Linked DNA regions of Mus musculus. The protein of the gene in region 1 purifies or fractionates together with the protein of each later gene. This does not show direct contact. Links are inferred from orthologs where the notes say so. Each region holds a gene or a part of one and is shown in the gene's direction. Other genes may lie near its edges.

What was found.
Region 2: the proteins of Psmd4 (region 1) and Ubqln4 purify together in Homo sapiens (affinity purification with western blotting; 4 studies listed by BioGRID, with this or other methods). This does not show direct contact. The link is inferred for Mus musculus from reciprocal best matches to the Homo sapiens genes PSMD4 and UBQLN4.
Region 3: the proteins of Psmd4 (region 1) and Txnl1 purify together in Homo sapiens (affinity purification with mass spectrometry; 3 studies listed by BioGRID, with this or other methods). This does not show direct contact. The link is inferred for Mus musculus from reciprocal best matches to the Homo sapiens genes PSMD4 and TXNL1.

The regions. Positions count from the first base shown.
Region 1 is NC_000069.6:95,040,067-95,043,813, reverse strand, and holds the start of Psmd4 (26S proteasome non-ATPase regulatory subunit 4), read left to right. Parts: upstream 1-1,199; 5' UTR 1,200-1,280; coding exon 1,281-1,306; intron 1,307-3,747. UniProt on the Homo sapiens protein: Component of the 26S proteasome, a multiprotein complex involved in the ATP-dependent degradation of ubiquitinated proteins.
Region 2 is NC_000069.6:88,552,512-88,556,258, forward strand, and holds the start of Ubqln4 (ubiquilin-4), read left to right. Parts: upstream 1-1,204; 5' UTR 1,205-1,293; coding exon 1,294-1,401; intron 1,402-1,427; exon of another isoform or gene 1,428-1,908; intron 1,909-2,826; coding exon 2,827-2,978; intron 2,979-3,278; coding exon 3,279-3,481; intron 3,482-3,747. Other genes in the region: ragulator complex protein LAMTOR2, read right to left, coding at 1-6, 285-352. UniProt on the Homo sapiens protein: Regulator of protein degradation that mediates the proteasomal targeting of misfolded, mislocalized or accumulated proteins.
Region 3 is NC_000084.6:63,690,106-63,693,852, reverse strand, and holds the start of Txnl1 (thioredoxin-like protein 1), read left to right. Parts: upstream 1-1,493; 5' UTR 1,494-1,679; coding exon 1,680-1,777; intron 1,778-3,747. UniProt on the Homo sapiens protein: Active thioredoxin with a redox potential of about -250 mV.

The DNA.
Region 1 (3,747 bases):
CCTTTTTATTTTTGAGAATTCTCTCACTAAATTTCCAAGATGACCATGAATTTGTAATCATTCCATTATATAGGTGGGATCGCAGGCAAGTGCCAACAGGTCTTCTTTTCTTTGACCCCCAGAAAAGGTCTTATTGTGTATAACCCTGGCTGCCCTGGAACTCATTATATAGATCAGGCTGGTCTAAAACCCACAGATGCCTGCCTCTGCTTCCCAAGGGTTGGTGTTAAAGGTTAATTAACAAACCAAAATAACTTGCTGGCTATCCTTCGTTCCTTGGGTGATTACATGGTGTTTACTGCGGGCTGGGGAAATGACTCAGTGCTTATGAGAGAGCGCTTACTGCTCTTCCTAGAGGACCAGAGTTCGGTTCCCAGAACTCAAGACAGGCAGCTCACAGCTGCCTGGAACTCCAGTTCCGGATTTGATATTCTCTTCCAGCCTCTGCAGGGCCTGAATACACACACAAACGCTTAAAAATTTTTTTTGGTTTGTTTTTTTTTTTTTAATTGGTCAAAACTTTTCTGGATTCCTTCATCCTGTCAGACTCAATACTGGAGTTAGGAATTGCATAGATTTTTTTTTTTTTTTTTTTTGGTAGGCAGTAGATAGGTAAATCGAATTTGAGGATACAAGTGTTTGTAGCAGTTGCATAAACACAGTGCAATGGGAAACAGGAAGTTAAAATGTGGTTAACGATGCTGACACACTTTTTAAGTGATTATGCTTGGACTGACATATCCACAGTAGTGTATGCACTCATGAGTGTCTGTTATGTGTTCGAGGCAGTGTCACTACGTAGTAGCTATGTTGCCCACGTTGGCCTGGAAATTGCAGTTCAGATCTTAGCATGAGTGTGCCCCTTGTAAACAGCACTGGGAGGTGAAGCAATAGAGTTTATTAGCCTGAGCTCCACAGCGAATTGCTGTCATCCTTTTTCAAACCGTAACAACAAAAACAAATCAAAAACCCAAATATACAAAAGAAAGAGAGCAGAAGAGGGGGTAAATTACAGCTCTCCTGCCTCACACTGGAGTGTTGCTGCCAGGCGAGTGCAGAGAGCTTACAGCTGTTCCGGAAGCTGCTGCGAAGGTAGCCAACTCTATTGGATAACCAACCTTTCCATTTCTGTGGCGCCTACAAGTCCCAGAACACACCGCGGGGCGCGGAGGCGGGGCAGCATGAAGACTGAGTTCTTTGATTGGTGATGAGCACCAGGCCAATCGGAGGTGCTGTTGTTTGTCAGTCCCGGAGCCGGTCCGCAGAGGGAAGGAGGCAAGATGGTGTTGGAGAGCACTATGGTTTGGTGAGGAGCTTCGGACGTGGCTGGGGGGCGCGTCTGGGTTGTTGGTGCGCGTGGCGCCGAAACCCGAGGGCCTGGGCTGGGGACTGGGTCGCCGGGCGAGATGTGGCTTCGGGGCCCGCGGGACTCTGGCAGACGACTCCCTGAGTCATCCCGGCCCAGGAACGCAGGCCCGGGAACTCCTGTTCCCTTCCCTGAATTTCAGGTCTCCCATAAAGCAGAGGCCAACTGCCCCCTCCACTCGCCTCCAAGTTTTTCTTTTCTCTGTACTTTATCGCATGTAAACCTCACAACCGCATTCTTGGAAAATAGTCCTTGTCTCATAATGAGTCGGAAGGACTTTAGGGGATCCGCTGTAGTCACACAGCAAATTAAGAGGCCGTGATAAGCAGGATGAACTAGGTTTTATCAGGTTTATACTTGGGATGAGTACCTATTAAGAGTTAGATTAGAAACTGAGGACAAGAAAATAAATAGAAAGCTGAGAACATATTTTTTTTCAGGGCTACAAGAGGACTTTGTTTTGTGTTTTCTGGGAATTGAATCCAGAGCATTGTGAACGCTGGGAACGTGCTCTACCAATGAGCCTCATCACACACCTGGATTGCATTTATTATTTGTCATCATTATTGTTTTAGATGGAGCTTTGACACTGTAGCTCAGACTGGCTTTGAAGTCGCTATTTGAGAAGATGCACAGGTTGGCCTTGAACTTGGAATGAGTATGTAGGATTAAAAACTTGAGTCACTAGGCCCATGTTTTCATTTGGAGATTGGCTAGCACTGCCACCTAAATGCAGGATGGCTTAAGCTTGGTTTCCTGCACTTGGAGGATGAGACAGGGAGTTTTCATGATCAGGACTACCTAGCAAGGTTCTGTCTCAAAATAAGACTACCAGAATGCCCAGTTAAATTTGAATTTCAAGCAAATCATGAGTGATTTTTTAGTATGAAAGGGAATTTTAAGTCCAACCCAAATATTGCTCTTACAAGTTACTTGTTGGGGCCGGGCAGTAGTGGCACACACCTTTAATCCCAGCACTTGGGCAGCAGAGGCAGGTGGATCTCTTAGGGGTTGAGGCCAGCCTGGTCTATAGAGCAAGTTCTAGGACATGCAGAGAAGCCCTGTCTCAAAAGGTGGTAAAATAAAACAAAAACAACAACAAAATAGTTACTTGTTGAGGGTGGTGAGATGGTTGGGTGGGTAAGAGCACAGAGTTTGGTTCCAAGCACCCATGTTGTTTGCTGCTGCCTTCTTTTTTTTTTTTTTTTTTTTTGGTTTTTCGAGACAGGGTTTCTCTGTGTAGCCCTGGCTGTCCTGGAGCTCACTTTGTAGACCAGGCTGGCCTCGAACTCAGAAATCCGCCTGCCTCTGCCTCCCGAGCGCTGGGATTAAAGGTGTGCGCCACCACGCCCCTCGCTGCTGCCTTCTTGACAGGACCAGAAGATCAGTGCCTTTGATCTCTGTAGGTGCCCGCACACACACCTAAAAACAATAAATATAAATCTCGAAAGTTACTCATTATTCATCTGAAATTAAAATTTAACTTTTAAGTCCTATATTTTTGTTTTTTTTTTTTTTAATTTTTTTTTTTTTTTTTAGATTTATTTATTTATTATATGTAAATACACTGTAGCTGTCTTCAGACACACCAGAAGAGGGAGTCAGATCTTGTTACGGATGGTTGTGAGCCACCATGTGGTTGCTGGGATTTGAACTCTGGACCTTCGGAAGAGCAGTCGGGTGCTCTTACCCACTGAGCCATCTCACCAGCCCTATTTTTGTTTTCTAAGTTTGCTTTCACTTCTGGGATAGAGTATGTTAAAATAGAAGATGGATTTAGAATCCAAACAGTTCCCTGGCTCTCACTTACATTTTGCATATTGTTGGAGAATTGTAGTAACTTCTCTGTGTCTCATAGTACAAGCAGGTAAGCCATATGTGATGGTGCTCTGTAAAGTATAGAGCTCTGTAGCGGCATGGTGTTTGGGGAATCCTCAGAATTTAAGAGCTGTAAAAAGACATGTTGAGGAGAGGTCATTACAAAGTTGCTGAAGTAAGAGTCCCGTGTTTGGGAAATAGACCAGAGTGAACCTTAACATAGATTGTTGTAAGGTGGGAGGAGTCACTGTAGAAAGAAATGACTGAAGAGCTTGAACTCTGTTCTATACCCCAGTGAGAAGATTCTGAGGGTGATGGAGTCAGACCTTTGTACAGACTGACACTGATTTAAGAATATTGATCTGGCCAGATGTGGTACACACCTGTTGAGAACACTGGATGGTTGAGACAGAAGGATCATGAGTTCAAGGCCAACTTGGAATGCATATTGAGGTCCTGTTTAAAAAAAACAAAAAACAAAAAAAAGCCAGGCATGGTGGCACACACCTTTAATCCCAGCACTCGGGAGGCAGAGGCAGGTGGATTTCTGAGTTGAGGCCAGC
Region 2 (3,747 bases), about 6.5 Mb from region 1:
AGCAGCCTGGCAAGAATGGGAAGGATATCAACAAACTCAGGAAGAGTGAAAGGTCTGAGTTCCTATCCCAATTCCAGCTACTGGCGCTTTTAGGAAGCAAGAATCCAGGAACACGCTAATCAACTGTCCATTTCCCTTTCCGAGGAAGCCCTCAAGCAGGGTTTCCGAAGCTGCAGCTTGCAACATTAGCCACCTCCCGGCGTAGGGCTCTTCCCTACCCCTACTGCAGACAGCCGCGCGCCGCCCCATTCCAGCGCTCGCTGCTTGGGTTCTTGTTCACTCACAGGGTGCTCTGGACTCCTCCAGTGTTGGCTTGGCTTAGCACCTGCGTCAAAGCCTTGGGACGCAGCATGCCTGCGTCTCTTAACCCTGACCTGCACCAACACACCCCTACAGTCGCAGCCTCTTGCTCTCCCTCAGTCGCTTCCGGTGGCCCAGGAGCCCAGCTACGAGGCGCCTGGGAGTTGTAGTCACCGGGCCCATCTACTGAGGCTCTGGCCCAATTCCCGCCCCGCGCGAGGGCCTCTGGGAATCGTAGTTTCATGTGATCGCTCAAGGAATTCTGGGAACCATAGTTCAGCGTTCCAGTGGGACCATGTGGTTGTGGAGTTGGGGGGGGGGAGAGCGGGAGCGCAAGGACAGTGGCAACGGTGGAAATACTTTTAACATCTTCCACGCGAAGGACGCCTTCGTGCCTACTGGTCAATCGCAATCTAATAATAAATCTATCTGTTAGGCACATCCTTGACCATTTTTTAAAGCAATATTGTACGCTAGTCACAATTCTGTGGGGTCTTGCTCTTTTACTCCCAAGGCTCAGAGAAGCCACGTAGGCAAACTCCAGGTCTCTGAAACCGTCCTTAATGGCTCCCTCGGGGCGGTTCCCCGGAGGCCACGACTGCTCGAATCCGCAGAGGTCTTAAGGACGTCCTGAACCAGGAACGAACCCAGGCCTCTCAAGAAAACCAAGTGACCCCAGGGAACGGAGATAAGACGGCGACAACGAAAGTCCTTTGTCCGAACAGGAGGGAGCCGCAGGCGGCCCTGAATCTCCCGCCCTCCGCGCTGTCCGGCCCGGGCCAGCTGCGCACCCTGCTCGGGCCTGGGCCGCCCCAGCTGCAGTGCTCCCCCAGGCCGCCCGGGGCGCTGTGGCTGCGGCTGTCCGGAGTGGGCGGCGGAGCCTTGGGGAGGGGCGGGAGGGGGAGTTGGAGGCCCCGGAGTCGGGCCGGGCCGGGCGGGCCGGGAGGAGGAGGAGGAGGAGCCGGACGGGCTGGCGGGCGGCCGGGCGGCGGCATGGCGGAGCCGAGTGGGGCTGAGACGAGGCCCCAGATTCGGGTCACCGTCAAGACCCCCAAGGACAAGGAGGAGATCGTGATCTGCGATCAAGCCTCGGTCAAGGAGGTAGTATCTGGCTGGGAGGAGACAGGAGGGCGGGAGCAGCGCACCGAGGGGGTCAGAGCAGAGAGGGAGACCTCGGGGTCGGCCTGGCGCCGGGGACGGGCCCCCGGCCGGGGCGGAATCCAGGGGCATACAGGCGGGAGAAGCGGGTAGGGGGCGCCCTGCCAGGGCTAGTCCGGGGAGCGTGGCGCGGGTAGGGGCCGGTTTGGCCGCGCTACCCGGGCTGGGGGCGTGGTGGGGGAGCTTGAGGAAGGGACACCTTGCTTGCGGGCTCCATTTGGAGCCTAGGCTTGAGGAGAGTGTGCTCCAGGGTCACTGGTAGAGGTTCCAGGCGCTAAGGCACCGTGCGGCCCGAGCGAGCTGCGGCTATGCTCTCCCGGGAGTGTCGCGTGGTGGTGGTGCCCTCTCTCTCTCTCTCTCCCTCTCTCTCTCTCTCCACAGAGCCTCCTTGTCGCAAATCGAAACGGTTGTGTAGTTCAGTTTTCTGCTCTACAGGATTTGCTGAGCGCAGTAGGTGCTCAACAAAATAATATAGAATGAGTGAGGGAGTATTGCCTGTGTTCCCCACTGCTTGAAGCTGCTCCAGAATTGCACATAGGCGGGGCTTAGAATAGGCCATCTGGTTGGAAGAGAGGGATCTTTTGCTTAGCAAGTGCACTGTTTATAGTTAGAATATGTGTTGTGTTGTGTTGTGTTTTGGAGGAGCTGATAGAATCTAGAAAATTTAACTCGCCCCAGTGTAGCCGTTGGTACCACTGCTGCTCTCTCATTAGAGAATTTTAAGTCCCCTGGGAAAAGCTGAATTATAAAACAGCTCTTATTGAGAATGTGTCTGATGAAGACATTGATGTCCAGACCTGAGTTCCTATATCCCCGGATACATTACCTCTTCTCTGATCCTTATCTTTAAATTCCCAGCCCTGGGGAGGTAGAAGCAGGTGGATCTATCTGAGTTCGAGGTCTACATAGAAAGTTCCAGGACAGCAAGAGCTACATGCAGAGACCCTGTCTCTTAATTAATTAATTAATTAATTAAATTTAATTAATTTAATTAAGTAGAGATGGTAACTAACACACTAGATTCCTCAATAGATCTCAATAATACTCTAGATTATCTGTTATAGTGATGAGGAAGCTGGGACTGAAAAGCAGAGAGAAGGCTGAAGAGAGACAGCCTGAGCCCAAGGCTAGTTGAAGGATTTAGGATGGGGAGGGCTGCCCATGCCTCTGTGAGGTATCACTTTCAGAGAATTGGGTGGTGGGACAGAAGCTGCTGTTGTGGATAGCAGCAGGGGCTTTCCAGGGTTGGGATACTGTGTCATGGAACTAATTGAATGGATTCTTGTAGCTAGAGGGGCAGAACTGAGGGTCAAGTCTTGCAGCGGGGCGCAGTTGGCCTCTGCAGTGATCTCTGCCTCTTGACCACAGTTCAAGGAGGAGATCTCCCGGAGGTTTAAGGCTCAGCAGGATCAGCTGGTCCTGATCTTCGCAGGCAAGATCCTCAAGGATGGGGACACCCTGAGCCAGCACGGCATCAAGGATGGGCTCACAGTCCACCTAGTCATCAAAACCCCTCAGAAGTAAGTACAGACAGGAGCTGCCCTTGCTCCTGATTGTGACCTCACCTCCCATTCTTTCTCACCTGTTCAGCAGCCAGGCCTGGCACAGATGGATAAGGTCTTACCTCTGGGGGAGCCTGTCAGTACTCCCAGGTTGCCTTAGAGACTGTTGATAACTGATACCATCCCTCTCCCCAGCATCCTGCTAGCCTGGGGTAAGGGTGGAACAAGGCTGCTTAGGAGGTGGCTTGAGCTGTCAGTCCAAGGCCACCTTGTCACTTGTGCACACTCCAGCCAGGTTTCCCTACTCTTTGTCCTCAGGGCTCAAGATCCAGTGACTGCTGCTGCTTCTCCTCCATCCACTCCTGACTCTGCCTCTGCACCCTCCACCACGCCTGCCTCACCTGCCGCCGCCCCTGTCCAGCCCTGCAGCTCTGGCAATACAACTTCAGATGCTGGCAGTGGAGGGGGGCCCTCTCCAGTGGCTGCAGAGGGGCCCTCAAGTGCTACTGCATCGATCCTCTGTAAGCCTTTAGCGGGGGAGAGCATAATTTTGTATTGGCCAGGGGAGTGGGGTGCACAAAGATAAAGAAGAAGAATGGTCCCTGATCCCTAGTCCTAGTCCCATGACCGTAGTCACTCTTCCAGATGTTGGAACTTAAGCCAAGCTGGGGTGGGGAATGAATGATCGGTTTATGATGGTTTTTTTTTTTTTTTTTAAAGATTTATTTATTTATTATATGTAAGTACACTGTAGCTGTCTTCAGACACTCCAGAAGAGGGAGTCAGA
Region 3 (3,747 bases), on another chromosome or scaffold:
CGGCTTGAAGGACTGTAGCACCCACCACTTCCCACTCTTTTGGACTTCCAGTTTGCTGACCCATGAGATGTTTCTGTTGTACAAGCCACTTTTTCCTGTGGCATTTTTGTTAACACAGCTCTAGCTGACTAACTTACAACTGTTTATAAATAGTGTTTGCTTGGTATTGTATATTTGGTTTGAACATCATTATAATTCACAATTCTGCAAAGTAGATAGTAACACACTTCCCAGACAAGAATGACAAAGTTTGGAGAGGTTAATGGCTTGCCCATCCCTATAGGACCAGTTGCAGAGATTATGGAAAATTCTGCCAGTTTCTATTAAAGTCATTACAGTGTCTAACGTGAATATATATAAATATATATGGATATATATACATAAATATATATGGATATATATACATAAATATATATGGATATATATACATAAATATATATGGATATATATACATAGTGAGATGTATGTACTAAGCAAATATTACCTATTATCTGCACTTTGAATTCACTTGCACATATCTAGAATATTTCTAATACCTTTCTCTCTCTCTCTCCCTCTCTCTCTTTTTTTTCCGAGACAGGGTTTCTCTGTATACTCCTGGCTGCCCTCGAACTCGGAAATCTGCCTGCCTCAGCCTCCCAAGTGCTGGGATTAAAGGCATGCGCCACCACTGCTCAACTACCTTTCTCTTTCAAAATCGAATTACTTTTCTTTACTCAAAAAACTATTGGGTGACTTTCATGCATTTTTTACATCCTATATCAAATATATTTTTGAGAATTTCATACATGCCTATGTGTTTTTGATCAAGTCCATCCCAGTTCCCTCCTGCTGCGATCCTTCTGTATCTCCTGCCCACTTACTTTCCAACTCCTGCTCCTTTTTAAAAAAACCCACTCTACAAGATTGAAGTTACGTCCACCCTTTACCCTGTGTCACAAGCTCACTTCCTGTGCTTCCAACTTTCGTATTTGTTAATTTTGTGTGTCACTAGACTCCAGATTCCTGAAGAAATGGGGGCGTCGCTTTTTGGCATTATTTGGGTACATATGGGTACATTATTTGGGATGTCTGCTCGGGGAACACCCATAGATAATGAAATCCATAAAGCAATGTTCCCATGACGTGTCGAGTGACTCGCCCGTCAGTCTTTGTAAAGGGTGCCGTCACGCGCCCGCATAGGGAAGGAGGGTCCCTTAGCCCGGTCTCCTCAAAGTCAGCGCTTGGTGAAAACAAAGCAAAACAGAACAGAAGAGAACTTTAGGTCAGCGAAGCTAGTAGGAGAGCAATTTCAGAAGCACAGCGGCGCCAAGGAATCGACAGCCATCGCCTGCGCCTGCGCCCTTCCGGCAGTGAGCGCCTCAGGTGGGCACGCAAAAGGAAGTGGCGGAAATGACGTCCAACGCGCGCGGGCCCAGGCTCCCTCAGCGCCCGCGCGGTGGCTGCTGGGTGTTGCGCGCCTTGCCCCTCTCGCTCGCCTCCCAGCCCGCGTCTCCTCCCCCTCCGCTCGCCTGCTCCCTGGCGTGACTCGGCACTCGCAGCTCCGGGAGGACACGTCGTGGTCGCCGTTCCCGCCCAGGCCCCGGCCTCCTGCAGCCCGTCTCCGGCCTCTCTCGGGCTCTGTGCTTCAGTTTTGAGGCCGGAAGCGTCGCGGCCGCCCTGCCGGGCTCTCTGTGAGGATGGTGGGAGTGAAGCCGGTCGGGAGCGATCCAGATTTCCAGCCGGAGCTGAGCGGGGCGGGCTCCAGACTTGCCGTGGTCAAGTTCACCATGAGAGGGTAAGGCCGAGTCTGGGTCGTCCTCTCGGGGTCCCTGCGCCCCCAGCTTCCCCGCCCCCGTTTTCCGGGTCCCAGTTCTCCTGTCGCCTTCTGCTCTGGAATGTCCGGTGGTGACCACAGCCCAGGCGGCTGCCAGGCTTAGGCCTCAGCTCAGAGTGCGGGTCGCAGATGTGCAGAAGGGGCTTCCTGGCGGGCACAGAGGCCACGCTGGCGGGTCCGGACGCCCAGGACATGCCTGCCCGCCCGCCGAGTTTAAAATCGTGGATGTCCCTGCTCTTGGAGGCGGCCCGTGATGCTTCCAGTTTGGAGAGTCTCAGCCTCTACTACTTGCGCCGCTGCCAATCTTTAGGAAGAGCCGGCCATCGTTTGCATTTTAGGATCTGAAAGCTCAGTTTTTAAATTGGTTGATTTCTCTTTACCTGTATTTTCTGCAAAGCCTTTATAAGATCCAGATGAGGGTGTCCATCTATTCGGAATAACTACGTGTAGTCTTAAGGCCTCGTTGGTGCATTTTGAATTAAGTTAATGTTGGGACATTATCTCTATAGTGTGCATAACATGTTTATTCCATGCTTGGTTTTGTTTTAGGCTCAGTATATGCTGATTACAGACACAAAGTACAGTTTGTACATGTCACCGGCTAGACAGACCCTCTGTGTTTGTCCAGACTGCCCTTTTAACTTAATGATTTAAGATGCTAGGAATGTAGAAAGATGTTCACAGATCTAAAGGACAAAAAGCTGGAGGATCGTTTATTGGGTGTGTAATGTGCTCGTCTGCAATTGGAACTAGGCTTTAAGAGCCAAAACTTAGCTTCTATTTACAGAGCCCTTGAATGTAGCAGTACCAAGTTAAAAGGTTTAGAAATCTTCATTTGACCACCTGGCGTTATTTACACACAAACTGGGAGCGAGTTTATGTAACAGGTTTATTTGCCTGTGTTGTTGGTTTTTTTTTTTTTTTGTTGTTGTTGTTTTGTTTTTCCCTCTTTTTTCCTTTTTTGGGGGGGGGGGTGGTTTTGAGATAGGGTTTCTCTGTGTAGCCCTGGCTGTCCTGGAACTCACTCAGACCAGGCTTACACCTCGATCTCAGAAATTCACCTGTCTCTGCCTCCCAAGTGCTGGGAGGTGTGCACCAACAGGCCTGGCCCTGTTTGTTTTTTCTTAAAGCCAGAGAAAAATTCAGTTTCTAGTACAGGGTTCAGTAAATGTTGTGTAGAAGATGTAGATAGCTTTAGGGCACAAGCAGAGAAGGAAACAAGTATAAGGGTTTTGTTGGTGACGTTTGTTTTGTTTTGGGGCCAGTCTCCCACAGAACTGAAAGGGGAGAAGTAATTCAATAGAGTCGAGTCTCCATTCAGTTAGGGTCTTTGGAAATTGACAAGGTCAGGCTATATCATGTATTAAGATGTGTCTCAAAGGAGGGTCAGAACTAGAAAAGTCTTCTCAGGCTTCCATGTTTCTAGCTTTTTTCCTAGGAGAGTAGCTGCTTACAGTGAAAGAGAGCAGACAGGAATCCTATTTGTACTCCATCCTTCTACTTCTGGGTAATTGCACTTTTACTCTCTTGTCACTCGGTTATTTAGTTCACCCTTACCATGGCAGAGGCAGTGAGAGAGGTGGAGAAACGTTGCTACTAATGGAATTTTTCTGTTAGCAGTGTGGAGTCATTCTCAGTATACCTGTAGGGACTGAATGGTAAAGAGCTAGATTACTTAATAAATGCTTTAATGGAATGAAAATTATGTTTGTTTTCCTTGTAAAAACTTAAGGAAAATGAGTGCTTACATGTAGAAAACATTTTTAGTTTAAAAGAGTATTTAGGTAACATTTATAAATTAAGTGAGGTTATGTTTTACCCTTAACACTCTTTTTATTTTTAAGTCTTTTGACCATTCTTTCAATGTGGGCAATCAAGCCATTCCTCTCTGAGGCCATTGCAGTCTAACTGGCTTTATTTATACTTTGTGA